Linked DNA regions of Rattus norvegicus. The protein of the gene in region 2 binds, or shares a complex with, the protein of the main gene of each other region. Links are inferred from orthologs where the notes say so. Each region holds a gene or a part of one and is shown on either strand. Other genes may lie near its edges. The genes, in order: Sema4d, Plxnb1 and Arhgef12.

Region 1 (9,992 bases), on a different chromosome or scaffold from region 2:
GGTTGGGTCTGCAGGGCAGGAACCCATAGCTGAAGTGAGCACAGCATGGCGGAGCTTGTTCTGTGCTTCAGCCCGGGGCCCCAGTGAACCCCACAGTTCCTACTTTTAGTCCAGACTGGCAGAGAAGTTTGCTGGCTACCACTGAAGGCCAGAGGTGGCATGGGATCCCCTGGAACTGGAGTTTCAGATGGTTGTGAGCTGCCGTGTGGGTGCTGTGAGAAGGAAGGCAGGTTTTCCATCTACAAGAGCCACAATTGCTCTTAACCTCTGAGCCATCTCTCCAGCCCCAACTGGTGCATTTTATACCTTCTATCTGAGGGCAACCCCAGTCAGACGACACTGGGCTGGAGAGATGGCTCAGCGGTTGAGAGCACTGACTGCTCTTCCAGAGGTCCTGAGTTCAAATCCCAGCAACCACATGGTGGCTCACAACCATCTGTAATGAGACCTGCTCTCTTCTGATGTGTCTGAAGACAGCTACAGTATACTTACATATAATAAATAAATAAATCTTTAAAAAACTGTTTTCCTTAAAGAATTGTTTTAACCTTGTATCCTGACTTTTTCACTCCAGGCACAAGCTGAGGCCCCTTGTCTTGCAACTCCACCCTCCCACCCTACCCTCCTAGTAAATGTATACCATCCCCTCCCCCAAACCCTCATCCCCTTTAGTGACTGAGGATACACACTGGGCCAGGATAGCACATTCTGATGACATTTCCACTATGGGCCATCCTCTCTTCCCCTGGGGCTCTAATTGCTCCATTTTGAATGTGTTGGGTCATTCACTCTTAGACTGAGGGAGGAGGCTGGCCCAGCTTCTTAGCCCCGTTGCTCAGGGCCCAGCCTTTGCAGCGGATAGAATGAGACCCTTACTCTTTTATGTTCACCGAAGGGCTGTTAGACCTCCAGACTTCTGGTCTGCGTTTCAGATCGCAACATCGAGATGAGCTTAGGGTCAGACTGCTAGTGTTTTTATTATCACAGTTAGCCTAGTTCGTGGGATGGTTTCCGCGTAGTTCCCACTTAGATTTCTTTGGCTAGAAGCGGGGTAGCCTACAAATGTGTCGAACGGGGCAGTCTGCCCACTGAAGGAAGAAAGCTCAAGGTCTTGTGACCTAGAATGAAGCAAGAAGCCACCGAGGCAGGAGGGGGCCAGGCTGGGTGGGTGAACGTGCTTCTAGTGTCCGGTGCCTTCCTTGGTCTCCCATCCACGTGTTTGGCTAAGTGAGGGAGTGTGTAGCATTTCATCCTGGGTCTTGGGGATGGGTGTGTCTGGTGACACTCACAGTTCTGAGAAGGAAGAGGTTAGGGTTCTGTGTTGTTGCTGCTGAAGATGGACTTTCGGGGTAGCCCTTCTACACCCTGCCCAGCATGTACATTCCTGTATTTCTCAGCTACGTGGGTCACCGAGTCTGTGAACCACCCCCTGCCCTTTCACCTTATGGTGGGGCATCCTGACTAGCGGCTTTGTGCGTCTGCCAGCTCACAGGTTCAGGGCACTGTGTTGGGTCTGGTGTTGGCCAAAGCCCTTTTGGTCTGTTAGCCCCTGGTTCTGGACTCTTCTTTCTTGGTGTCTTACTTGGCCATGCCCCACTTCTTTACCAGGACTTAATTAATTAATTAGTTTGTTGTTAATTAATTTTAGTTAATTAACAAAATAAATAATTAAATTTTGAGCCAGGACCTCACTGTGTAACCGGGGCAGGCCTGGGACTCACTATGTAGATAGAAACCTGCCTGCCTCTTCCCCAGAGATCTGGGATTAAAGGTGTACACCGCCACATCTGGTACGCCTGCTTGTTTGTCTATTTGAGACACAGTTTCAGTTGTGGCCCTAGCTGGCCTGGACTCATATGTAGACTAAACTGGCAGTGAACTCACAGAGCTCCCTCTGTTTTATGATTAAAGGCCTGCACTGCCACCAAATTAATTTTGGAAGAACGGCCTTCTTTCTGCTTTGTATTTTTAAATTTTATTTCTGTAGCCCAGTCTGGCCTCAAACTATGTAGCTAAGGATAACTCTGAACTTCTCTTTCTTCTGCCTCCACCTGCTGGTGTATCTCTGTGCCAGGATTTATGAAGTTCTGGGAACTGAGCTCAGGGCTCTGCGCGTTAGAAGCAAACATTCCACCAGCGGAGATATCTACCCAGCCCTGAAGGGATGTTTTATTAAAAATGTTCAAGCGGGCTGCACAGCGGAATGCGACTCCCCTACCTGCACGACCTTGGCTGGCGACCTTGCCTGGTGTTCAGCCTTCTCTGTTCTCCCCATCCTCTGCTTCCATCAGGGCGATCTGAGGAGGGAAGAAGCATCCATCCCATGCTACCTGATCCTCACAGCTGGAACCGCGTGCACCCAAATCAGAGGGCCTCCTGCCTGTCACAGCTCCCTTGTTCCAGTCATCTTCAGTTTCTGCCAAGCCCAGGGTCTTCTGGGCTTAGGCCTGTGTCACCAGTGGCTCTGTACCCAGGGGATGCTTAAGATCAGGGTGACATTGCTGTCCTGGCTTTCCTTAGCACTGTGGATGCTCAGTGTTGGAGGGAGTTGGTGACCATGGCTTTAAGAGGATTCTCATGGCTCTTACGTGGCAGGGTGCACCATGAACTTGCTCAGCAAAACCCAGAGTTCATAATTGTCTGGGTCACTGCTGTCTGTTTCCCAGTCACTGCCTCAGTTCTTGGCTTCCTGCTTTCTGGTTGGATCCGGGTAGGAGTCACCCCTTGTGCTTGGCTGCTGTGAATTTCCAGGGTAGGACAGGGACCAGACCTACCCTTGTTAAACCATTGCCTATAACTGGAGTCACCTCTTTGCATGTCACCTGTACCTGCTTTTCAGCTATAGCAATAGTTAAGGAAAACGGTCAGCTGCACTGGCCTAGAATATTCCACTCCTTGAAGGATGGAGGGGCTTGGGCTCTTTAAGAAGCTTCCAAGATCCATTGGGATAGCAGCCAGACAGCCTGTCAGGACTGCACTTGAAGACAGGAAAGGATAGGGCCCTGAGTGGAGATGCAAGAACAGCTGGCCCTGCCCTCTGTGGGAGGAAGGGTGGGGCAGGGGAGGCCTGGCAGGTGGGTAGATGCTGTGCCAGCATTGGGTCCACATCTGGAGACTGTTGTGCCCTGTCAGCTCCCAGTAACCACACCCGAAGGTGAGGCCTATCTGTGTATCAGGGCAGCTGGTGTGATTCAGCGCTGAGCTCTGCATCCTGGGATCCTGGTGTGTGCTGGGCCTCAGGCTTGACGGGGGCAGGTGAGGACAGGGACAGAGGCCCAAGAGACCCATGGCCACAATTCCATCAGACAGCCAAGCCTGGTCTGGTCTTCTGTTTCTTGTTTGGACAAATCAGAGTTAATTGCTAGTGTTTCCATGGTAATTAACGTCTTCCTGGTGAGACAGGAAGAGCTCGGGTTGCCTCCTGGGCTAGCTGGGTCCTTTGTTGTGGCTAGCTACTCCTGCAAACTGAGGCCCTGAGGGCATGTTTTCAAGGGTATGAAGGTTAGTGTGTGCTTACATTACATATGTGTGTATGTATGTATGTATATATGTATGTATGTACATGTGTGCATTTGTGTATGGCTACACGCACTTGTGTGTGTCTACCCATGCATGTACATTCTTACATGCATTCTCAGGCACGCGCCCTGTCCTGCAATCCTCTGATGTTTGATAATTTTCCTGGGTTAGCGTGTCAGAAATTGGGAAGAGAGCCCTCCAGGGAAACTGAGACCTATATTATTCCTTTCACTTGTGGCATGTCACCAAGCACCTGGCTGTCCCTCTAGCCAGTTATTTCCATATTGGTGTGTTTTAGCCTTGTTGTCTCTCTACAGGATCTGGCTGGCTGGCAGCCCCACAAGTCCTGGATGCCTTCCATGTCCCTCAGCGGGCAGGTTCAGACAGGATAGGCCGTAGGAAGGGATGGAGGGGACTGAGAGCCTTCTGAAGCTGCCGTGACCTACCGTCTCGTCATTTCCTTCTCTTGCAGGTCGGAAGGGAACAACGCCTTTGGCATGAGGTTGTAAAAGTGGCCTTTGCTAACCTGACATGTGGGGACTCAAGAACCCCACTCCCTATGGGCTCCAGTCTGTGCTGCTGGCCCCAGCTCTGGGGCTCTGAGAGGTTCCTGCTGCTACACCACAGCAGCCCACTGCCATTCATGTGTGTCTGTTGCTGAAGGCCTCGGTGGCCCCTGCCCATGAAGATGTGTGCCCCCGTCAGGGGGCTGTTCTTGGCCCTGGTGGCTGTGTGGAGGACCGCGGTGGCATTCGCCCCTGTGCCTCGGATCACCTGGGAGCACGGAGGTGAGTGTGAAAGCCGTAAGTGCCCGCAGCTCTGGAGAGTGTGGGGGTCCCTGCTTTAGATGTTGTGTGTGTGTGTGTAGGGGGGGGTGTCTGTCAGGGCAGGTTTAAGCTGCTGAGATGTCAGGAGGATACTGTGTGAGGAGGAAGCCCTGGTGGCTGCTTCAGGCCCCACAGCAGGTGCCAAACTTGAGTTAGGATATGTGACGTCAGCAGCTCCTAGCTCACTGGATGCTGACTACATGCCCGGCACTTGAGCTGCACTTCTGAGATTACCACAGCCTCAGAGAGGGCTCCAGGATTGGGGTGGGGTGGGGTGGGGTGGGCACTGGCTGTTCCACGATCCAGGGAGGGAGCAGTGTGAGGATGGAGTCCAGGAAGTAAAGGGCAGTAAGAATGCCCACCTCAAAGCCACCTGGACACTCGGGATTCATACTCATAGGCAAGTTCAGAACTCACTGATGCCAGCGTAATGCGGAGCTCAGCATCACAGCAGGAACCTCCACACTCAAGATGTAGAGGCAGGAGGGCCGTGAGTTCCAGGCCAGCCTGGGCCACATAGCGAGACCCTGTCTTAGACAACTAGTATCGTTATTTCCTTCCCGTGGTACCGTGTTCCTAAACTGTTGCAGGTTCAAAAAAAAAAGTGTCGTTTGTCTCTGGAAATCACTGGTAATGACTAGAGATTGTTTTGGAGAGACATGTGTTCTCCCATCTTGACTTTTCTTTGGAAGTTCTAAATCATTATATCTTTCTAAACCTAAAGTGGAGGGTTAAAAACACATTAAAGAGGTAGAGTGTAGACCAGGTGCCTTAGTAAGGGTTTCCACTGCTGTGAGCAGATACCATGACCAAGGCAACTCTTGTAAGGACAGCGTTTCATTGGTGCTGGCTTACAGGTTCAGAGGTTCAGTCCATCATCATCAAGGCAGGAGCACGGCAGCATCCAGACAGTCATGGTGCAGGAGGAGCTGAGAGTTCTACATCTTCATCTGAAGGCTGCTAGCAGAATACTGGCTTCCAGGCAGCTAGGATGAGGGTTTTAAAGCCCACAGCCACAGTGACAAACTTCCTCCAAAAAGGCCACACCTCCTAATAGTGCCACTTCCTGGGCCTTGCATATTCAAGCCACCGAATCAAGTGTCTGTGATGTGCTGGAAGCCTGGTGTGAGGGGTCTGGAACTCCACAGGACCTGGGAGACAGAAAAGGAGATCGGGGTATAGCCTAGGGATGCCTGCCAGCCTCAGGGCCCCAGCCATGGGCTAGCTCCTCTCTTGCACTTGGTGGCTGCATTGAGATTACCTGGGGGTCCTGAGCTCTGCTCCATGTTTAGCAGCATCATGCGGTCCCTAGGACAAGTCTGGTTCTGACAGTGAGGTGGGACCGGGTGCGTACAGGCTCAGGGTGACTCCTGGGTTTCCCCCTCCCCGCTTTGCTGCCCACAGAGGTAGGTCTGGTGAAGTTTCACGAGCCAGGCATCTTTAACTACTCTTCCTTGCTGATGAGTGAAGACAAAGACACTCTGTATGTGGGTGCCCGGGAAGCTGTCTTTGCAGTGAATGCGCTGGACATCTCTGAGAAGCAACATGAGGTATGTCCTGCAACTTCCCAGCCATAGCCCTGTGGGTGGGGCTGCCTTGCTGTCCCCCATCTCCCCACGCCCTTCCCCCCCCCCCCATTCCCAGTCTGCACAGGTCTGGCTCGACCTCCACCAGGAAGCTCAGCTAGGCTCTTTCTATGCTATGTCAGAGCTGTGTTGAGTAGTATGCTATCTGGTCCCCTTTAAAAGGAGGAGAGAGTAACTGAGGCTGAAAATGACTAAAATTCATTCTGTGCATGTGTCAAACTGTCAGGAGAAAAATTAGGTCGAGAAGGGTCTGAAGGGATGGCTCAACAGGTAAAGACATGTGCCACAAAGCCTGATGATCTGAGTTCAATCCCCGCTCCTCCCAACACACACCACATACCACACACACACAGACAGACACATACCCCACACACACACATACACACACATACACACATACCACACACACCCCACACATACACACATACCACACACCACACACACACACCACACACATATACACACACACCACACACATACACACACATACCACACACACATACACACACATATACATACCACATACTACCCACTCACCTCCACATACCACACACACACACATACACATCATGCCACACACACATACACACCACATATACACACCATACCACACACACATACACACCACATATCACACACACACACACGCATACACACACACACACACACACAAAGATAACTCCCACAAGCTGTCCTTGCACCTCCCTTGTGCACACTCACACGTCCACATCTACACATAGTAAAAATGTGATAGAAATGCAAAATAACAGATGAAAGCCCCCGATTTTGGATAGGATTTAATTGGTTATACTTTTATTATATGGAGTCAGGGATCATAGGATGACAACCTTGGGCGTCTTTCCTTTGGTGCTGTCTACTTTTATTTAATTTTTTTTTTTTTTTGAGACGTGGTCTCTTGGTCTCTGGAGCTTGTCAAATAGGCTGGCAGCCAGCAAGCCACAAGGATCCTCCTGTCTCTGCCTCCCCAATGTCCAGTGCCACAGCTGACCTTTTCACATGAGTTGTGGGGCTCAAATTGAGGTCCTCGTGCTAACTGGCAAGCACCCACTGAGCCGCCTGTCTCTCCTGCCCTCTGCTGTTTTGTCACAAGCTCAGGGCTGTGTTATCCCTGCTGGTTTAGGGATGATGGTCACAGAACATGAGGAAGCCCTAGGGATGACTCTGAGATCTCAGCCCCTACCCGCTCCCTGAACGTCTTGTCTTCCTAGTCTGGCTTTCTTCTGGCTGCAAACCAGTGTGCCCTGAGCTGTGGGGTGCCTTCTGTTGTCTGTTTTATAGCAGTTCCTTTCCCAGTGGGGCTGCAGTGAACCGGCTCTGACATGTTCCCCCCTCACAGGTATACTGGAAGGTCTCTGAAGACAAAAAATCCAAGTGCGCAGAGAAGGGGAAATCAAAGCAGGTGAGCACAAAGAGCTCGCCCGCGCACACGCACATTTCGCAGTTATTTGGATCTTTCCCAGTACTGTGACTTCTTTCTGCATGCCCACCTGGTGTCACGTGATTCTGGTGGGCTCGGTCCTGTGGCAGCTCTCCCTGAGCCCCGGCGTCAGGATGGATGCTCTCGGGCCAGTGCTCTGTCTCCTCAGCTCTGGAGAAGCCTGTTCAAATGGCCTGGCATTGTGACTACAGGATACGTCCTGTAGTTTCTGCTGCCCGCTAGGACCTGGTGTGAAATTGGCCTCCCCTCTGTGTTTCTGGGCCTCTCACACATCTGCACCAGCCGTGTGAGGCCTAAGAGGTTTCAGGGATTTGATGGGCATCAGAAATGAACGGTGTGTTGTTGTTGCTTGGTTTTGTTTTGTTTTGTTGTTTTATTTGGTTTGTTCTGTTTTTGTTTTGTTTTTGAATTTTGTTTTCGGATATCCGTGTGCCCACTCCGGGAGACTGAGCCTTGTATCCCTTTTCTCAGGAGCTCTGGGTACCCTCTTGTGCCCACCTGGTGCCCCACAAACGTCCCAGGTGTTTTTTTTTTTTTTTTTTTTTAAGATCACAAATGTTTTTAGATCACAAGAGCCAGGTTGTCACTGATAACGATCTCGGTGGCTCAGCGATGGCAGAGTTTGTCAGTTCTTAGCTGATTTCAAAAACAAAGATTCAAACAGCCGCTCACAGTTTGTTTTTTCTAAGTTAAACTTTCTTGGCCGAATGCTCACTAAGCACTTTTCACCGCCCCTGCTGGTCTCTAATTGGGGTGTTAACTGGGGATCTGAGGCAGGCAGGCAGGCGTTATGATGGGATGACTGCTGCAGGCAGTCTGTGTAGCCAGTGAGCGGATGCTTTACACCGCAGCGCGCACGTGGGGACCCACAGTGAACTTGGTAGGGAGCCCTCCTGTGAATGATACCCCGTCCATTTGAAAACAGTTGTTGGGGGGGACAGACAATAACAACAACAACAACAAAAAAATCCTTTTCCAGTTTGAGATCATTTCAGGCTATAGCCCATGCACTCTAAGCACTGCTCTCTTAAAATAGCACGTAGGTTCCAAATTGTCATCTTTGTTTTCCCACCGGGCCCTCGGGGATGCACACTTGGCCGTCCCCTTGGGTCCAGCCTCTCTCTCTTAGACCCTGCTAGTCGCTATTTCTAGTTCCGTGCTGGCGACAAGAGTATAGGGTGGGGTCCCCAGGAAGGCCGAAGGAGCCTGTACAACGTCTGTTTTGGTGAGATGGCCATCAGAAATGAACGGTGTGTGTTCAGCTAGGGTAACTACATGGCCATTTGTAGTGGGTTCCCCGGTACAATTTGAGGGTCAGCTCTGGTTTGGTCTTGGCTTTGTTTGGTCGCCAGAGACAGGCTGACCATCTATTAGGGACAGAGCTAAAGTCATTCCTGGCACCTGTTCTGCCCGTGGACCTCAGAGATAGAGTTCACGTTGCAGAGCCTGGCTCACGGTGCAGTGCGCCCCTTCTGTAGGCATAGACAGACCAGTCTGAGCAGAGGAGAGAACCGGGCAATGGATGCCTGGCCTTTACGACGTGGACACGCGGATTCTTTGGTGGGTGCCTGTTAATGGTGTGTGTGTTTCCCTTGCAGACGGAGTGCCTTAACTACATCCGAGTGCTGCAACCGCTTAGCAGCACTTCCCTCTACGTGTGTGGGACCAATGCGTTCCAGCCCACCTGTGACCACCTGGTAAGGTCACAGCATATTCCTTTCCTACGTGCTCACCTTCAGCCTCGCTAGGGACTAAAGCAGAGCCAGCCTCTCCCACTCTTTCTGCAAAGCACGAGGACTAAGAACTGTACAGTCGGACTGACTTCCTACAGCATCCGTAGCCCCATTCCTCCTGACCAGTGTTCTGTGAGGCCTGTAGGATGATCTGCAGTAGCCGTATACCAAAACACCAAATTGGATGCTCAAAACATCCTGCGGAAGTCAAGGAAGTAGTCTCGTTAAGGGAGCTGGTTGGGGTTCCCAGCCACTCCGGGTAAGGGTTTTAAGTAAAAGAACAAACAGCAGCAGAGAGTTGCCATCGCATCAGGAGCGTCCTGCATCCATCAGGAACTAACTGGGGAAGTTGAGGCAGTCAGCTGAAGCCACCTCTCCGTGACCGGGCTCCCACGGCTGGCCTCCTCTCCACCCCTTTCCACTGTAGACACTTTGATATTGCGAGATTAAGTAACAGTAAGCTCCTTGCAGACGATTCACCTCCTAGCCGCTCTCAAGGGCACGCTGTTTTTACTCTTGGGCTGTTTGCTGTTCTCTCTGTCACAGAGTCAGGGGCCTGGGAGGACACTGAAAACCTGCTTGGGTCTGAAATGGAGGGGCAACCCTGCCGCCAGAGCCATTTTCTCTGTGAGCTCGAGCAGCACAAGAAAGCTTACCCATACAAGTCGCTTACTTTGCCCTTGCCGTGACCAAATACTGATAAAAAGCAGCTTAAGGAAAAGTATAGAAGGCCACCTCAGTGAGACAGAAGGCAGAGTTGGGGAGGTAGAGCTGGCCTATAAACACCCAGGCACACCTGCAGAAACATACGTGTGCGTGTGAACACACATACACAGACACACACACACACAGACACACAGACACACAC
Region 2 (9,373 bases):
CCAGGAGCTGTTGGCCCCTCCCTCACCCTCACGAAGGTGTAGAGGCAGATGGACATCCAGTTGGTGAGCAGCTTTTCCACCACAGTCTCTGTCCTGAGATGGCAGGAAGGGAAGGCACAGACTATAGGGCTCCAGACTCCAGACCCAAGCCCCCGCTCTACTCCTGGCCCCGGCTGTCCCTCACCTCCCCCTCACCCTGCTCTACTCCTGGCCCCGGCTGTCCCTCACCTCCCCCTCACCCTGCTCTACTCCTGGCCCCGGCTGTCCCACCCTAACGGCCACTGACCTGCGCAGCATCAGCTTGGGGTTCTTGGCTACACACTGGGCTACCAGGTCACTGAGCAGAGTACGGAGGATGTCCGTGAAGTACTCAAGCTTCCCGTGAAGGGCAACAGTGAGCAGAGATGCCACGTAGGCACGGTCTCGAGCAGAGAAGGTACGCTGACTCTCCAGTGTGTGGATGAACTAAGGCCAGGGAGAGTGTGAGAGGGGGGAAGGTTCAGAAACAGACAGCGAGACTAGGCCAGCAGGCAGGAACAGAGGGATGGGGCAGCCAGGCTGGGAGCGCACCTTGGTAAGGAAGAGCTTGCTGTTTAGCAGGTTGGAGAGCTGCCCCAGCCCCTGTTCCACAGTGGGTCGCCTGCTGTCAGGCACACCGAGGTCCCTGTGCAAGGGTGACTCCTGGTGCCCAGGGAAGAAGACCCTCTCAGCATACACTTTGTAGTCAAGGAAGGGGATGCCGCTGCCAAGGAGGTCACTGGTGAGATCAGTCATCTCCGTCATGAGGTCTGTTGAGTAGAAGAGTGTCCATGGATCCCATGTGAGCAGGGCAGCTGTAGGCAGAGCCCCAGGCTACTCCCACTCTAGAAGCCGCACCTGTAAACTCCTTCTTACAGCGGTCCCGCACACTGCTCTCCAGATTCTCCAGCTGGATCTGCACCTTTTTATAGTCCCTCAGGGCCTGCTTGCTCTTCCTCCTACCAAGGCAGAAGGGAAATGTCAGCAGGCCAAAGTCCTTTCTAGGCTCAACTTGGTTCAGGCCTGCTTAACTCTACTCCAGGCCAATCCCAACCTTGCCTGACCATGCCCAAGTCAGCCTGACCCAGAACAATCCATCCTGTCTCGTTCCCATCAAACCACATCTATCCATCACTCAGCCTGAGGGTCAGCAAACCCGGGTCATGCTGTATAGGGTCAGCAAACCCGGGTCATGCTGTATAGGGTCCACAAACTATTTTTAAAAGCAGGGTTGTCAGAACTCAGCTATACTTGATGGCCCAAGAGCTGAACTGAGTATTGCTGGAGACCACCAGGCCTGTTGCAACCATTTCCAGAGGTCCGATCCCTGATGTAAAATATTTGCTGAGTGGGACTGGAGAGATGGCTTAGTGGCTTCTGCTCTCAATTATCAGCATCCACACGACAGCTCACAACTGTCAGTTTCTGGGGATTTGGCATCCTCACACACAAGTATATACAGGCAAACACCAGTGCACATAAGATAAAAATAAATCTTAATAGATCTCTACACACACACACACACACACACACACACACACACACACACACACACACACACACACTTTGCAGAGCCCTGCTCTCAGCTCTGGCCAACCCTACCTGTAGATGAGGACAATGACGATGACCCCCAGAGCCAGGAGAGACACGCCCACTCCCAAGCCCACTTGGGCTGCCACAGGAAAAGCCACAGGGCTCTCGCCATCGTACTGCACATGACCCAGGGAGAAGCGCAGGTTCCCCATCTGTACCTGTGTGGGAAGCTACCCGTGAGCCAGGGCCCCAGATATCATGGTGCCAGCCTTGCCCAGGCCCTGCCCGCTGACCGTGAACTCCGGCAGAGCGTCGGGGGCCTCACGGAGGGCATGGTGATGTGGCAGGGGCTGCTCCACAGGGGGCTCGCAGTACAGGTGGTGCCGGGTCAGTGTCTTCACCACGCAGGGGCCATCTCCGATCATGGCCACCACCTCTTCCTTAGACATGGCAAGGTCCAGATTCTCCCCCTGCAACATCGGGTCACTGGTTTGTTTCTTGCCTCTGTCCCCAAACGTGAGAGGGATGGCCCTGAGACCATCTGTTAGCCGTGATTCCCCTGCGGGTGGACCCCATGGTCAGAGGTGTCCTTTAGACCACCTCTGCTCACCATATGGTCTGCTCACCATAACTCCTTTGTGCTCGAGTACCGTTCTTCTCACAGCTGAAACGCTGGAGAACCTAAAAGAGTTCCCCACACCCTGGGCAGTTAACGGAGTTACCCTCATCGAGGTGCTGTTGGATCAGCTGCCTGTGACCTGTCCATGTGCCTACACATGCACGGACTACTCACCATGCACATCATGAAAAGGGTCTCGAGTTACCCACGTAGGCCAGTTGCCAAATGAGGATCAGCCTGTTACCTAATGTGTACCACACTACCCATATGCCAAGCCATTTACTTAACCAAACTGATGCCTTAATGGAGCCCAGGGACCCAGGCCACCAGTCAACCCCCTGCAGGGCCTGCTGGCTCCTAAGCTGTACCAACCATTTCATATTCTCCCAGCTTGTCCCTTCAACCCTGACCTCTCCAACATACACATACTGTTCTCCTAGAGAAAAGCCCAAGAAGATGTATTACCTCCACAGAGAACACACTCCCTGGCTTGTGCCGGAATGGCGTGGTGGGATCCTCGGGGTTGAGGGAACGCAGGGTGGGATCAGCCTCATAGGAGAAGGGTGTGGGGCTCAGTGTAGCAAAGTCAAAGACCATGTTGTCAAGGATAAACTCCACCTGGACCCAAGGGTCCTGGGGCGGGCCAGGGAGGGCAGGCGAGCGGCACATGATGAGGTGGGAGGAGTTCACGAGACATGGCTCTTCGATCTGTAGAGGAGGTCAAGTGAGGCACCGCGTGAGACGTGAGGCTGAGCAAAGCTGGGAAGCATCTCCTTTGGTACCAACAACCCATGGCCGTTCTTGGGTGAGGGGAGAGATAGCCAGCCTGGTGCGAGCAGAGAGGCTCATAGGTATGCGATTTGATTGACAATGGCTCTGGGCCCACATACTTTCTCAGGGACCACGTGGTGCTTCTGCCCAAGCCCCTGGCCATGCTGTGGTACTCTTGGGATCACAGTCACTCGGATTCTTGGCATCTGTACTACATCCAGATTCTGGCCTCGGACCCATATCTCTCGTCCTCCACTGAAACACAGCCCAGGAGTCATGTGTGATTTGCATAGCTCAGACCCAGCCAGCTCAGCTGCAACCCCAAATTTCACTCATGACCCATTTGGTCAACAGTAAGGTGGTCAAAGTCCCCATTCCCAGCACCCCACCTCCCCTATGATGAGAACTTCGAAGACCTCCCAGACATGCTTTCAGCCCCCCACCTGAAGAAGCTCTTGGCGGGGCCCACAGAGGTGATGTTGGGGTCTGCTGTGTACTTGAATTGGCTGTGCTGAAGCCTCCGTTCAGTGGCTCCGAACCAGACCATCACTGGGAGTTCGGCAGGCACAGGGTTTGGGCTGGTCTCACAGTGTAGCTGCTCAGACTGCTGCTCCAGGAGCCTGGGTGGAGGGTAGAAGATAGGCCAGATCCAGGAGCTAGGCACCTGCTCGAATCTGGCTCACTGAGGTTCCTTGCCCACCGAAGTCCCCGTTGTGTAGCTCCAGAAACTGGACTTCTACCACAGCCCTGGTTTCTGGCTAAAATGTTCTTGTGGGGCAGATTAACCCATTCCACACTGACTGTTCTCAGTACCCCATCTCCACCCTGGCGTGTGTGGATTTTGTAGAACAAGAAATCAGCCCTTGGGGGTTGGGGATTTAGCTCAGTGGTAGAGCGCTTGCCTAGGAAGCGCAAGGCCCTGGGTTCGGTCCCCAGCTCCGAAAAAAAGAACCAAAAAAAAAAAAAAAGAAAGAAATCAGCCCTTACAAGTGGCAAGGCTGGTCTCCAACCACGACACGGATGTCCTCTAGCCGTCCAGTCAGGAGCTTAGAACCATGCAGGGTGAGGTGGGTACCTCCTGCTCTAGGGCCATGGACTGGGAAGATGGAAAGTACTTTTGGGTCCTACGGGGAAAAAGATGGGGAAAGACAGACAAAATCAGGATGACAGAAGCCAGGGCACCTCAGACAAACAGGGAGCCCTAGGATGGGGAGCCTTATGAAGCCTTAAATAGCCTGAGCCGTCCACAGAGGGCGAGGCCTGCTGGCAGCTGGAGTGGTCTAGCATTCAGGCACCTGATAGGCAAAGCTGAACTCTGAGACACCGTGTCCTCTTCCAGGTACCTCCACTGCCACTGCGCCTGTCACCTCCTCCCCGCTGCTTCCAGTGATGCACACAAGACTGTGGGCACAAGACAGGCAAGTGAGGGAATGCCAGGCTGCGGATGTCCTTCCAAAGACCTGGCAGATCCTCTCCCCACCACACTGCCAGGTGTTCTGCTGTCCCTATCCCCATAAGATGTGTCAGCACCCCCTCTCACTTTGAAAGGAACCCATTATGGCACACCGGCAAGCCATGGCATCCGAGAAGCCACACTCCTGGTTCAGTCATTCAGGCACACCCTCCAACAAGGAGTGTATTTCCCTGCTGTGACACAGGTTTACAAAGGAGACCTGGAGAGCTGATTTGTGGTCAAGCAGAGGAGCGAGTGAGAGGACCACACCAGCCACCCCAAGTCTCCCCTACCACGGTATGGTCAGCGCCCACTTGCGAAGTGATGGGAACTTAATCTGATCCTAAACAGAAAATTCCTAAAAAGCCTCTAGTCAGAAGGGAGGCAGATGTGAACAGATGTAGAAAATGCTGGTTCTCAGCCAGAAAACAGAAGCCTGGGGCACATGAACTCCCAGAATGTTAAGTCTACAGTGGTTAACATTGTCACGGTCATACAAATACCAGCAGGCAGAGCGAGTGGTGAACTAGCGGGAGAGGCTCCAGCCATTATACATTTTACACTTCATAAATCACTTCCTGAATCACCTAAGTCTGACGGTTCTAGAATTTTAACAGTGTAGAGGTTCTGGAAGTTCTCAGTTACCCCTGAAGGAAGAGTGAAGGCTCCCACAAAATATCCCCCGTTTAAGATATGAATTATGGGGCTCTGCAACAGCTCCTCCTGAGGGTACAGTGCGGGGTTACCCTGACACTGTGCCAGTGTGGGTCCTGCTGGTTATGAGCATCTCCTGGAGAATGTTCTCTATTCACCTGAGGCCTGCTGGAGGGCAGCCGCCACTGCCTCTCCTGAGAGAGCCCAGTCAGGGCAGGCCTTGGAGACGTAGTACATCCAAGAAGAGCCCCCAGCCGGCTCCAGGCAGTGATTCTGCCCGATACACTAACATGATCCCCAAGCGCCTGGGTCAAGGCTCTGCAGATATACACAGCAAGCCAGAGTTCCAGGCCATGCTAACCCAGCACTAAGGCACTGACACCACAATCAAAGACGGAGAGAGGCAGGCAGACGCATGGAGGAAGGAGGTCCTCAATGGGAAGCCATGCAGCCAGTGCCCTCCCACGTTGGGCCAACCAGCTCACCTACTGGAGACGTCGTACTCGCCAACATCGACCGCACAGGGCACTCCTGCTACTCTGACCATGCCCAGGACGTCCTGGACATGCTGGCCCAGGTTGGAGCCCCTGATGGTGACACGGGTGCCTCCGTCTATAGGTCCAGTCAGCGGCTCCACCTGTTCCAGGACAAGAACATTCACCTCACCTACCTGTCAGCCTCTGTGGTCTGAGGCAGCCCGGCCTCCCATCTTGAGTTCTGTGCACCCACGGCACAGACATCCTCCCTGTAAGAGTGGCAGTGATGGAGAGAGGGGACGTACCGAGTGAATTAGAGGTGCAGGGCACTGGGTAGCCACGGTCTCGGCTTCATTACAGGCTTCTCGGGCTACACAGCGCGGGTGCTCCCCCTCGCACCACACACAGTCGTACTGAGGCATGGCCGTTTGGCAGCGGCTGCAGTCCCCATGTCCCACAGAGCAGTCATACAATACCACTGGAGACAGCGGGGACGAAATGTAACACGGAGCCTCGAGGGGCCCCGCTACCAGCAGCCTGCCCTGTGGTCCCTGGGTGGCCTACCATGTAGCCCATCGGCACTGTCCACACGCAGACCACCCGCCCAGCGCAGGAACAGTCCCACTTGGAGTTCTGGCTTTGAAGCTTCATAGCTGAACTGGAAAAAGAGGAGAGAAGTCAGAGCTTCGAGTCTGGGCCAGGCCTGGGGTGAGGCTCAGAGAAAAGACCAAATTGACCAGTTAGGGGAGCAGCGTCTCAGGTCAGAGTTGGAACTCAGGGATCCCAGGGTGAAAGGGCAGGAGATCAGTGATGGAACTAGAGAACAGAACCCCCTGCCGAGTGACAGGGACCCCACGAGGCCCAGCTGGGGTTCTTCCATCTACTGTCAAAGCTCAGCTTGCGACAAGTTCACGGCATCTGAGGCTAACGGCCGGCCTGTGCCCACCCCTGCATGTTCCATACCTGGTGCTGCTGGCACTTGATGTGGCACCATGTGTCTGGAGGTGGCTCACACTCCACCTGAGCCTCCACTGCCACCTCGAGGCCCTCCAGCACCAGCACACACTCACTGCTCCTTGGGCCGTCCTGGGGGCAGAGGACATGTTCAGGTAGGCTGCAATACAGGCCCTGCCACAGTGCAGCCCAAGTCGGGAGAGAAAGCTGGGGCTGGGGATGGCTTCTTCCTGCTCTCTAAGACCTGAGCAGACTCTGTTGAGTAGCCAAGCAGCTTGAAGGGGAAGTTGTTAGCTGGATAGGCAAACATACCTGGAAGAGCCACAGGTTCCTGCCTCGAAGCTGGACTTCCCGCTTCACGTGGACCGGTATCAGCAAGGAGCCTTGGACGTTCTCCACACAGGGGCAGGAGCTCACCCTCTGATTCACCTCTCCCTGCAGGCACCAAGGGCGAGGCATCTGTGGCTCCCACCCTGACCTCCTCAGTCCTCTGCCTTGCTTGGCTCCATGGCAACACTGTCCTCACCCTCCCAAAGGAGAATCCCAGGGTGAGCAAATGGCTGTGTCTTCCCCTCCCCTCCCGAGGCCTCCTTCCTGGGCTGGACCTCACCAGCTCCCAGAGCCCGGGGGTGTCGTACTGGTAGTCGAGGCTGGACAGGAGGATGAGGGGAGCAGAAGGGCCCTCGTGCTCTGCTGAGTCGCCATCACCTGAGAGGAGTGTGGAAGTGGAGAAGGCGGGCGTGTCACCCCCCATCCACTCCTCCGCCTCGAGCAGCTCGCCGCCTCCTTTGGTGAGCCAATCCAGAACTGGCTTCATGGAGCCAGTGGCCCCTGGGAAAAGGGTGGCTGGAGCAGTGCCAGGGGGCTGATCCAGAGCTACCATGGAAGGCAGAGTCTCAGGGCCAGGCTCTGTGGGGGATACTGCAGCTGCATCTGAGGGGAATGGGTAGGAGGCCAAGAGGTCCTCAGGCGTGGTCAAGGGTCCCAGGTCAGCGGGGGCAGGGACAGTGGTTCCAGGTGTGGTAGGGGGCTCAGGAGGGAGGGGCTTCTCATGGAGAGGTGACTCTGTGGAGGTAGGGGAAAGTATGGGGCCAGGGCCTGCCCATGGGCCCCAGAGGCTGAGCCGGGAAGGCTTGGCCCCGGGTAGGACATCTGAGGCTATGGAGGGAGCCCTAGGCTCTGCTGGGAAGGTGTTGGGAGTTGGAGTGGCTGTGGCTCTGGGGACTGTGAGTGGGAAAGGGGTGAGTACGTCCCTTGCAGGAGGGATTAGGGGGAGAAGTGGGCTCTGAAGGGGAAGGCCAAGACAGACAGGAGGGCCACTCAGCAGGCAAGTGCAGGAGCAGGCAGGCAAGGGTATGTTAAGAGGGAGAAAGACCAAGGAAAAGAGAAACAAAAACATCCCGTTAATTCTCTAACGCAGAAACACAGAGGGCAGGGGGGGGGGAGGTCTGTGCTGAGGTGGGGAACCAAGGCCACACCTCTTGCCTCTCAGCTTAAATGTCCTCCCAAAACAGATGGGATGGACAAGCAGCCATTCTCCAGTGAATTTGCCACACAAAGCAGCTGGGGTGCTCAGGACAGAGCTTCGTGGGAGGCTGGCAGGCACAGAGATCCCAGGCCAGTAGAAAACCCTTGCCCCGGGAACCCCGAGCTCCACCCTCAACGTGCCTCATCCTGGAGTCCCACTAACCTGTTGGCTTGCCACCATAGGCCCAGAGTCACACGAGGCCTTGTGCGTACACAGCTGCTGCCACACACACCAGTTACAGCCCCAGCGGCTGCTCACACAGGCCCGGCACCTGCATACAGTGCAGTCAGTCAGTCAGTCAGTCAGTCAGTCAGTCAGTCATGAAACAGACTGACAGAAGGGAGCCCAGAGCTGGGGACAGGTAAGTTAAGGAACTCACGGTGCAGACGGGAAAAACTCGGTAACCGCCATGCAGTCATAGAACGAGAGGGAGGTGTTGGCGATCACCACAGCACCAAACCTGAGCTCCACATTCACGGAGATATGGTCTGCAAAGTTGGGGAGAAAGCCAGAACTGAAGAGTGCGGAGGGCTGGGGATCCACATGGAATGAGGCTGGCACCCCAAATAGAGACAGGAACTAGGGTCAGAGAACAAAATCCACGGGACACAGCACAAACACCAGGGTCCTGGAGCCAATCAGGGGACTCGGAGCACATCCAAGGCTATTTCTGGAGTCATTTCTCATCCCAGTAAGACCTCTTAGAGCAAGATGGAAGCAGGGTGGGGCTCCCAGGTCCGGGGCTGGCCCCTTCTCTCACCCACCGGCTCCTCTCTGCAGCACTGGAGCCTCACTAGGGTCTGGGGAGGGACACATCACACCAGAACTGGTCAGTAGAGCAGGACTCTGTTGGTCCCCAAAGTAGCAGAAATATGACTCCTCTGGCCAGAGAGATGGCAGGCCTGGCACCGACAGGAAAACCTACCGAGAAAGCCAAGGGCACACTTTGGCACGAGTGCATAGTAGGTTAGGGACTCTCGTGTAAGGGCACTGGCATCCCTTACCAACGCCTTGATTGATAGCAGATTAGAGAAATTCAAGGCCCAAGAGAAATGGCTAATCAAGGACATGTGGCATTTGATGCAACGACACAAAAAAATCCAAGGTCTCCATCCGTCCATCTCCACAGCTCTCCCCTCTGGGGCCCTGTCCACTCTGGTCACTCACCTCCCTCCTCTCTCCCCGACTAATGTTGGCAGGGCTCACGGCCACCACTCGAAGACAGCCTAGTTCCGACTGGAAGCTCCACAGCCACTGCTCTGGGCCCTGGGCCCTTGAGCACTCCGACCGGCGACTACACCTAAGAAGCAACAGCAGCTAACTGTGACCCGCTGGCAGCCACCGAGAATTCACACAGCAGACACACC
Region 3 (9,373 bases), about 66 Mb from region 2:
CTGGGGGGAGAAGGGGCAGCGGTAGCAGCCTGGGTTCTACTGAGTTTGGGGTTTACCAGGCTCCTTCACTCTGCCTTCAGCTTGGAAAGGCGAAGAGAGAGACAAGGGTTGGCACAGGGACTGACAACCACAGCTCTTCTGAGAGCAAGAAGAGCAGAGTTAGCAAACTTGATACGTGATGCTTAGAAACAAGCTGATTTTTAAGGACAGGAATAAAATCTCGGGTTTTCATGTTGAAAAATAATAAATTATCCAATGTACTGTTGGTCGGGATGAGCCCACCATTTCACATACCTGAGACCTTGTCGGGGAGGGCTGAGCCAGCCAGCCTTTGGCAAAGAAGGGTGTAACTTTCCTCCACCTTCTGTAACACCAAAGATTTCCATGGGGATGGCACAAGGAAATAAAATTTAGTTGATGGTAGGAATGAAAGTTCTCCTTGTTAAAGGCACGTGACCCCCAATTTCGACATTAACAATAACCACTAAAGATTCTGTTAGCTAGGAGAGGCCAATTTCCTTTGAATAAGTGACCTACCTCTCCACGTAAAACACTGGGGAAGCAAGGGAAGGTGGTCTGCTCACGGCAGACGTCACCCAGGAAAGGCCCATATCATGTGACAGATGAACACAGAGGCCGCCTAGATACCCTGCCTTGCTAGCCACATAATGACATATGTGAAATTAAACGAAAAAAAAAAAAATCTGTTACATGGAGCTGAGAAAAGCTAAGGGAGACAAGCCCTGAGCTAAGGGGCCTTTTTTAGCCCTGACTGATGCCATGAAGAAGAGGAAGCTCTGGCAGCTGCGTCGTCCAGAGCCGATGCCTTTACCTCACTTTCCCTGGTTCTACACTACGGTCTCCAATTTTATGTTGTTACGGAGTGTGTGTGTGTGTGTGTGTGTGTGTGTGTGTGTGTGTGAGAGAGAGAGAGAGAGAGAGAGAGAGAGAGAGAGAGAGAGAGATATGCTTTTTCTTTTTAGTTGTTGTTATTGTTGGATTTTATTCTGGTTCATTTGTCTTTTTTGACTTGCTTACATGTTTAGTAAAGAGAAAGAAAAAGGGCACAGAGCTGAACAGGTGGGGAGGTGGGAAGGGTCTGGGAGAAATTGGGAGACGGGGAAGAACCATGATCAGAAGATATTGCATGAAAATAATATATTTTCAATTAAAAAAAAAAGAGTCCCCTTCATAAAAACTAGCACAGTAATGTCTTTCACTACCAATTCCCAAAAGCTTCATTTGGGCTCACGTGTTTTGGTGACAAAAGCCACTGGAATCAATTTTTCCCTGCCATGTACCTGTAACTGACTGACGGGCTACAACAGTCACAGCACTTCCTGGCCTTGGTTCCCAGCTGAGAGCCTGCCCACCTCAGTCCGCATCACCCACAGGATGGAAAAGACTGCCCCGGCATTTGGGATCTTAAAACGTGGAGACCCAAAACCAGGAACCAGGTACAAACCTACAATGTTCCTGTTCTTACGATCTGTCACAAGACAAACGTCAACGCCAGCTTTCACTCAGGCCTATTCATGATTAATGGTTAAAGAAGATGAAAACGGGCAGATACAGAACCCAGACCACCTTTGGACACAGGATCCCATCAATCCAAACTTGTACTCTGCCAACTGTGTTCTTAGGACCAAGGGTTCGGAGGCTGAAATGGGACGTACCTTTAAGTGTTCCAGGTCAGCCTCTATTTTATGAATGTACTCCAGGATTTGGCTTTGTGAATCTGTCCAAGCAGAGGGACTCTGGACCTCAGAGCAAGCATCCTCCACAGCTCTCCAGCGTCGCTGGACCAGGAATTCTGGGGTGGATGGTGAAATCGCCCCCTCGGAAATGGCATTCTGAGGGGAGTGTTGCTGCTGGTGGCTGGAGTCCACAGAAGGGAGGCCTGTCACAGGCTGCAGGGTGAATGAGGAGGCAATCTCCTCATCTGTGGAGCTCTCCTGCACTGCATCATAGCCATCAAGGATCAAACAGTTTCCTATTGGTTGACATAAGACAGTTCGATGAGATTAGCACTGCCACCAGAGTGAGGCCAGAATGACAACTTGAAAAGCTACCATGGTGGAGGAACCGTCAACTCTCCAGTTTAGTTTTAACTCTACCAGAATTTACTTCGGATTAAAGCCAATCTTAGCGAACTTTCACAGTAATTTCTAAATAACTTCATATTAGTCAGAGTTTTAAGAGTCTAACACCTTAGCCACAAAGTCCTTACATGAACATGAATACCACTCCCCTGCCAAACACCCTTTCCTGGGCTGCTTTCTCCTCCCCGCACTCCCTGACTACAGAAGCATGCTCTGCAGTGCTCGCTGCCGCACACTGTACCCAGCTATCCACACAGCCTTTCCTGCACTTCAGCTCCTGCTCAGACCGGCCACCATGTCTGCTCTCACTACTCTCTACCCTGGCTGCAGCTGGCCTTACTTGCTTCCTAAAGCTTCTGACCATCTGACGTTTATCACTCACTTTTTTATTTACCATCCCTCTTTCCCCTCAGGCACTTAAGCTTCTTGGGAACAATGACATTTCTGGCATTTTTCACTGTCCAATCTCCCAGCCCCTATGACAGTTTCTGGCAAAGAATAGACTATTGGTTGTATAAAGAAACACACACACACACACACACACACACACACACACACACACACACACACACACACCCCTGAGATACTGAAGCGACCTCCATCCCAGCATATAAGACAGTTTCCATGACCACAATCGAAGTTGAACGTCACTTGCCTGAGATGCGCACATTAACATCCTCCTCTTCCTTTCTGACTGCGCCATCACCTTCAGATGGATTATCATCGCTATGTGCTTCACGGGCATCAAAAAAGTGCTCTCCACTGTCATCCAGACCCCCCTCTGGCTCTGCAGTAGTAGGCACCTCTGGGGTCAGGAGCATGTGGTCCATTTCTATGATGTTGCTTGCCTGGCTGTCTTGGGAAGCCAGTATCACCGAATCCTGTACAGCACAGGACTCAGTTGAAGTCCGTGGACTGTCACAAGTTGCAACATCACCAGTTCCAGTTTTAAAAGACATCTGTCCTTCCCCGGCATGACAAGCCTTAACACTTTCCAAGTCCGGAATGCCACTGTCCGCCTGTGCCTCTTCAGAAGCCGGTCTGTATCTTGAGAAGGACCGCCAGTCTTCCTGAGTAGTCTTCTCCGTGAGCCCCAACTGCTGAACCAGCAACTGCTTCAACAAGCCCACTGGAGATTTAGGGCAGGAAGGGGAGAAGAGGGGGAAAGTGAAATCTGGCAGCTGAGTTTCCAATCCCCTCTAAAACTAAGGACACATCTTAATATTAATCCTACACAATCATTTTTTGCCTTGAAACATGCAATCAAAAATCTATCTTCTACACACTTAACATTAAAATACGGCTGACAAGAGTCGTGCATTTTGAATAGGAGGCCTTCTCCGAGAAGTCCCAAATCTATCTGACATCAAGCATGTGCTCTGCTTCAGCTGGGCCAGCAAATACTTTTCTCCTCAAGAGCAGACTCTGTATTTACAGGCATTATTTTTTCTAACATTTTCTCTCAATGGTGAAGGCAATGAAATTGTACAGGAAATCCCAATGATATGGTAGTAGTTTGTGTAAGTTCCAAGGTAAGTATTCATTAGGTTTTTGTTTGTTTAAATTACCTTACTAATGGCATGGCTTCTTTAGGATGTTAAAACTAAGATCCAATTTACCCTTGGGCTAGTCTTAGGCCAAACATCTACAGATCATGTCAGTTCTAGGACCAAGCCATCAAACTACCAGACATCAGTAAGTCTGTCTCCTCAGGAGAATGCAGAATAAAGGAGATTTTAAATAACTATAACTGCCTGATTCTACCACAGGCTTACCTTCTGTTTCTCCAACAAAGAGCTGGGGTCTAAGAAAACCTTCCCCTTTCTCAAGCACTTTAATCTCTACCCCAAATGCTAGCCCTAAAACTTCATGTCCCACTACCACTTCCCTGGGATGGTTTGCCACTCCTCATCTGGAGCTCCTAGTCCACACTGTAGAGGAAAGGCGGTGAGGGAGGCAGGATGCACAGTGGTCTGTGTGGCTCTTACTTCCTAGGAAAGCACTTAAACTGTCAGCAGACACCCCTTTCCTCTGCCTCAGCATCCACAGAGGTCAGCTGCTCTCAGGATGGAGAGCTCCTTATGCAGTGCTTGTTCTAGCCTGAACCTAACGACTGCAAGAGCTGACTGTGTAAGGACGCTACTCCAAGCCTCTTTCCATCCAAATCTCCGAGCAGCTCTCAGTCACATTAATACATTTTTGTCCGTCAGTCATAACTACCTTTAAAAAACCTCACGTGGTTCTCTGTAGCTGGAGCAACTATTCTTGGACTTTCTCTACCTCAGTGTATCTGCGAGATGTGCTATCCTCCTGTCTGTAATAGTGGTTCCCAACAAAGCTGGAGGAGGTAGGGAGGGGCAGCAAACAAGGGGTGTGTGTGTGTGCACATGGGCGCATGCATGTTAGAAGCTGTCAGAGGAATATTCAATCTCCATACAAAATGCAGGGCATGTGTAATATAAAACTAAAACAGCTCCTAAGAGCCCTGGCGTCTCTGTCCATCAAACACGGTATTTAGAACTCCCAACACTGAGACTTCTCAGCTCATCTTCCTGACTCCTAAACCTGTCTCCTGTGCTCGTCAGCTGACAGTGTGCACAGGCTCACTGCCTGGAGCGCGCTGTGGTCCTGCCCTACCAACAGTTCCGTCTGAACGGCTTTATTCTGCACATTTCTCCTGATCTTAATCGTACTCAAACGACAGGCATATGTCCTTCTGCTTCCACCTGCTGCTTCCCTTCTCTGACCACGCCACCCAGATAGATTTGACACATGCACAAAAGCCTCACTATTCCTGGAATATTTGCTTTTAAAGTGGCAGTGGGGACCCATCATCTTCCCAACAAGACTGTAAATTTCTTGAGGAAAAAAAAATGATAGGTTAGACTTTTGTGTATTTTCCATAAAAATGCATTGCTTTTTCTCTCTAAAGGTTTCCCAAAACATCATATGACTCTGGTACTTAGTAGCTTCACAAGTTATGAAAAAACTTACAATTTCTCAGTGCGTCCAATGCCCACCGCTCCTCTGACACGGGCAAGTGTGGATCTGAGATTGTGACTGGATACCCGCCATCACCTTCCTTGAAGGTCCCATTTGCATGCTGCTCCTTTGCAAACTGTGTTGCGGTCACAAAGAGATGTTCTGCCTCTGATTTGCCAGGGGTATTCATTGAATGGGACTGAGGTTTTGACGAAATTAAGGGAGATTCTAATCCCAAAACTCTGTCTGTTCAGTGGAGCAGAAAACGTAGATTATTCCTAAACAGACATCTCATTTTCAACATGGAACATTTATGTCGGGGGCAGAGGGAAACCACAAAAGCTACAGGCATCATCCGCTGGGGAGACACACAGCACAGAGCAGTGCTATGCTGGCACATGGGAGGCTCAGAGGCAGCATGTGCTGACATGCATGGTTGGGGCCGGCACAGAGACTTCCTTTTAATAGGTAACGTGTTACACCCAGTGTACTCGTCTATGTGGCTTACCTGGACTCTGCAGACCAGCGACAGAAAGATCATGGTGCTCCACTTTTAACTTGGCTGGTTCTTCTTCATCATTGTCTCCTCTATAAAAAGAGGAAAAAGAAAACAATCCCGGAGCTTTAGAAGATGCTCAAACGTCATGGCATTCAAGTGAACTGCTCACGTCTTCCCGACAGGAGCATAATGGCACTCACTCGCAAGGTGGCGGCTGTGGGAGGGGAATCGGCTTTGTGGACTGCTCCTTCACTGATGCGGCCATCCGACAGATGAGGTCTTGCCAGCTTCAGGGGGTGTGAAAGAGATGCAGAGCACAGGAGGGAAGCAGGACACCCAGTAAATACTCTCAGAACCAAAGAGAGAATACAAAACCAAACACCGTGTGCTGCCAGAGCACATCTTTAGTTTGGCACACTCTTGTTGGGATCCTAAAATATACTTTAAAGAAAATCCAACATGAACACATTACCCATTTAGAAGATTAACTTGGAACTTCCAAAATTTACTTTTAAGTAGAATAAAATAAAAATGAAAACTTCAATCTCAAAAGAAACAAATTCTTAGAGGAATGTTCCCAAAAGGATACAAGAGGAAGTACTTTATTTCTTATAATAGAAAGTCTGTGGGCTGAATGGTGGCTCAGTGGTGAGAGCCTGCTGCAGTTGCAGTGGATGGCCATTCGTTCAGTTCCCAGCACCCACCCAGCGAGCTCACAACCACCTGTAACATCGGCTCCAGAGGCTCTGATAGCCTCCTCTTCTGGCTTCCGCAGGCAGCTACACCTACACACACACACACACACACACACACACTCACACACACACATACATACACACGCACACACACTGAAATAAATCTTAAGAAAACAAGTATGTGGAACATTTATTTTTCAGATAATTCAGTATCAATTAGAAAGGGTAATTAAATCTGATACATACACCGTCTTTTCAGAAACCGTCTGTGCTACCAATTCATAAATTTGGGCTCCATTATCTGACATGGAGATGACGAATAAAGCTTTGTTATCTAGAAAAGAAGAAAACAAAACTTACTCTACTACTGTGGCCAAGCCATGACCATACAGGCATTAACATTCTGCATCTTAATTTAGATAAAAATTATGTATGTTCACTTTGAAAAGCTTGACCAAGTTTATAAACTTAAATTTTATGCAATTTACTGTAAACTACATTGTAACTTAAATAATGTTTACAAAAGTCAACACAGAACTTAATTAGAAACAAAAATAAGTCAAAGTTCAAATTACTTGAACTCTAGGGATTGAAGTGAAGAGAGATCATGTTAATTTGGGACAGAAAAGCAAGGGAGGGAGGGGATAAGGGAGAAAAGTAGGGACATGAATAGAAAGTTGATCTAGTCAAAACTTGACATTATAGACATACATGAAATTCTCAAACAATAAACATAACTGACTTCATAAAAGTTCTGTCCTGTAAAAACTAAGTCCTGCCCAAGCATAACATGCTTTGGAGTTCTAACAAGCCTATAATTCTGAATGAAAATGTTTATATGAACACACACACACACACACACACACACACACACACACACACACACCTATACTACTGAACCCAATTCTATCCCTTGTTTTAAACTGCTATATTTCTATATTGTTAAGAATGTTTGGGAAACACTGCAGGAAAGCATTTGCAAATTTTGCTGTCATGAAATTAAGTTGTATAAAGGAGCTCATCAGAATACAGTTAAACTGTGGCTTACCAACTTAGACTGATAGATAAAAAATCAGAAAACAAATTCAGGGCTGGAAAAATGGTTCAATAGTTAAGAGCCCTAGGTTCCAACACCCACATGGCAACTCTGTTTACTCCAGTTTTAGGGGAGCCCATGCCTTCTTCTGGCCTCCAAGGGCATCAGACTTGCACATGGTACCCAGACATATATGCAGCCAAAACACCCATACACATAAAATAAAATTAAATTAAAACAAAATAGTCAATTCCCCCACCTCTTCAATTTTCACGGTTTTCCAGCACACAAACACACCATTCACTGGCAGCCATGTCACTGGGTTACCCCTAAAGCACTCACAGCTTTCTTGGTACTTACCATCAATTTAAACATAAAACAAATACCAAAGTAATTGATGTACTTAAACTTTTAAATGCAGAAAACCAGTGAGGCAACCTTGCTGTCTCAAATAATTTGGAGGTGTAAACTTCCAATAGACAATTCCATTCACATTTCCACGTATAAACAAAACCATGGGTGAAATTCCTGCACAGCTTCGCACTGAATCCACAGCTGAGCTCGCATCCCGTGGCAGAGCTCGCATCTAGCGGCAGCCGCGCTCACCTGTGGCCACCTGTCGGACCAGCACTGTGCTGAGCTTAATGACAGGACTGAAGGTGTGCTTGCTGTCAGCTGTGGAGGCCAGGATCTTGCTGTGGCACCTCAGTACCAGCCTGTCGTCCTGCTTCTGTAACAGCACAAGAATGTCTTCCAGCAGCAGTGTATACAGATCTGGAAATAAACACGGACAAACTGCTAAGTACAGAGATTTAAAGTAATCCACAAAGGAAATTATTTCTGGAAAACCTAGCTAACTTTAAAAAACAGATTTACAAACTATCTTCTTTAAATTTCATTTTTAATTGTTCATTTTAGTATGTTTCATGGGAGCATCATCTAAGAGTTGCAAGAATTAAAAAATGCTCCCTCACTGCAAGAACCTGAAAGATACTAGCTTATAGATAGAGAACTCCAAGGTTCACCAGTAGATAGATGATGGAAATATGGCTGAAGCATGACAGTTTTCTGCTGTGTTCCTAAACGAACACGTAACATGCTTTACACTTAACAACAAGCACACAAGCAGATCTCCTATAAATGTTCAGATACTGCGGAACAGCACTGCCCTCTAAGTGAAACCTGAAGATGACTGCGCTCCCCCCGGCAGGCTTTCCCGTTCCCTTCCCTTCACACTCTCACCTCACAGAACACCAGACTCACCGATGCTTTTATCTCTATTCACCTTCCAGACCAACGGCCCTTCATGAATCATCTTTCTTTTTGTTAAATCCAAATTCTGCCGAAGTAAACAGAATTATACATGAATTACTTCCAAGAATATTTCATCAGTGGTGCCCCAGCCAGTATAACTATCTTTTCAGAGCAGTCTTTTTTTTTTTTTTTTTTTTTTGGTTCTTTTTTTTCGGAGCTGGGGACCGAACCCAGGGCCTTGCGCTTCCTAGGTAAGCGCTCTACCACTGAGCTAAATCCCCAGCCCCTTTTCAGAGCAGTCTTAATATAAAAGGTTTCATTCACAAGCAACCACAGTGTGCTACCTGCCTTGAAAATGGAACCGTCCACATTAAAACAGCCTGCACAAGACCTTCTAAAGGAGAAGCGTCTTACAGAAAAGCATCCATGACTATTCTCTCCAAACCTCCCTCCGGATGAGTACCAGCTTATGAACAGCATTACAAAGAGGTACTACAGATCCTCATTCCTCAGCTGCCATAAACCGGATGGAGATGATGTGTGCTGGACGTACACATCTCAACAGGGTTTCTGAGTCTAGAATTCTAATTCCTAGCACGCTTACCTGCTGAACCATTTCTCCAGTCTCCCGAAGAAAGTTTTAAGGGACAGCATTTGTTATGAGAGTGCCAAGCACTGTCATTGCCAGCCACTTGTTAGTAAAACAGCCATGGCTTAGCACTGGCATCTGAGGGGAACTTGCATTCTTCGGAAGGTAAGGGAACACACACATTAGCGTGCTTTTTGATAAACTACTGTGTATCAC

The links.
Region 1: the proteins of Plxnb1 (region 2) and Sema4d are in contact, whole or in part, in a crystal structure (PDB 3OL2), measured with the Homo sapiens proteins. The link is inferred for Rattus norvegicus from reciprocal best matches to the Homo sapiens genes PLXNB1 and SEMA4D. Residues at the interface, in NP_001123554.1 of Homo sapiens: Leu80, Pro81, Pro82, Glu87, Arg136, Pro137, Gly138, Asp139, Thr140, Tyr142, Gly178, Glu202, Lys205, Ala207, Gly209, Arg210, Ser212, Glu213, Arg235, Arg242, Asp359, Val360, Asn361, Ser362, Leu367, Pro368, Thr371, Tyr375, Ser379, Asp380; in NP_001358123.1 of Homo sapiens: Glu99, Lys100, Gly101, Phe158, Tyr179, Phe181, Leu182, Gly183, Ser184, Arg198, Tyr201, Ile203, Glu208, Val240, Leu264, Arg265, Thr266, Leu267, Gln268, Lys270, Thr347, Gln350, Ser351, His352, Thr353, Asp388, Gln392, Lys395.
Region 3: the proteins of Plxnb1 (region 2) and Arhgef12 are in contact, whole or in part, in an NMR structure (PDB 2OS6), measured with the Homo sapiens proteins. The link is inferred for Rattus norvegicus from reciprocal best matches to the Homo sapiens genes PLXNB1 and ARHGEF12. Residues at the interface, in NP_001123554.1 of Homo sapiens: Glu2129, Lys2131, Val2132, Thr2133, Asp2134, Leu2135; in NP_056128.1 of Homo sapiens: Phe82, Gly83, Leu84, Thr85, Val86, Ser87, Gly88, Asp89, His127, Val131, Lys135.

Annotation. Positions count from the first base shown.
Region 1 is NC_086035.1:13,646,760-13,656,751, forward strand, and holds the start of Sema4d (semaphorin-4D precursor), read left to right. Parts: upstream 1-4,021; 5' UTR 4,022-4,201; coding exon 4,202-4,307; intron 4,308-5,750; coding exon 5,751-5,896; intron 5,897-7,289; coding exon 7,290-7,352; intron 7,353-8,989; coding exon 8,990-9,088; intron 9,089-9,992. UniProt on the Homo sapiens protein: Cell surface receptor for PLXNB1 and PLXNB2 that plays an important role in cell-cell signaling. Regulates GABAergic synapse development. Promotes the development of inhibitory synapses in a PLXNB1-dependent manner.
Region 2 is NC_086026.1:118,630,807-118,640,179, reverse strand, and holds part of Plxnb1 (plexin-B1 precursor), read right to left. Parts: intron 9,307-9,373; coding exon 9,174-9,306; intron 8,928-9,173; coding exon 8,771-8,927; exon of another isoform or gene 8,767-8,770; intron 8,495-8,766; coding exon 8,386-8,494; intron 8,278-8,385; coding exon 8,169-8,277; intron 7,764-8,168; coding exon 7,089-7,763; intron 6,914-7,088; coding exon 6,791-6,913; intron 6,611-6,790; coding exon 6,488-6,610; intron 6,183-6,487; coding exon 6,089-6,182; intron 6,003-6,088; coding exon 5,830-6,002; intron 5,686-5,829; coding exon 5,534-5,685; intron 4,343-5,533; coding exon 4,237-4,342; intron 4,066-4,236; coding exon 3,929-4,065; intron 3,562-3,928; coding exon 3,385-3,561; intron 3,197-3,384; coding exon 3,061-3,196; intron 2,879-3,060; coding exon 2,636-2,878; intron 2,022-2,635; coding exon 1,845-2,021; intron 1,770-1,844; coding exon 1,621-1,769; intron 978-1,620; coding exon 877-977; intron 789-876; coding exon 571-788; intron 466-570; and 4 more. UniProt on the Homo sapiens protein: Receptor for SEMA4D. Plays a role in GABAergic synapse development. Mediates SEMA4A- and SEMA4D-dependent inhibitory synapse development. Plays a role in RHOA activation and subsequent changes of the actin cytoskeleton.
Region 3 is NC_086026.1:52,251,017-52,260,389, forward strand, and holds part of Arhgef12 (rho guanine nucleotide exchange factor 12), read right to left. Parts: intron 8,654-9,373; coding exon 8,578-8,653; intron 8,089-8,577; coding exon 7,921-8,088; intron 6,613-7,920; coding exon 6,525-6,612; intron 5,871-6,524; coding exon 5,784-5,870; intron 5,673-5,783; coding exon 5,593-5,672; intron 5,331-5,592; coding exon 5,097-5,330; intron 3,232-5,096; coding exon 2,758-3,231; intron 1,994-2,757; coding exon 1,677-1,993; intron 365-1,676; coding exon 295-364; intron 1-294. UniProt on the Homo sapiens protein: May play a role in the regulation of RhoA GTPase by guanine nucleotide-binding alpha-12 (GNA12) and alpha-13 (GNA13). Acts as guanine nucleotide exchange factor (GEF) for RhoA GTPase and may act as GTPase-activating protein (GAP) for GNA12 and GNA13.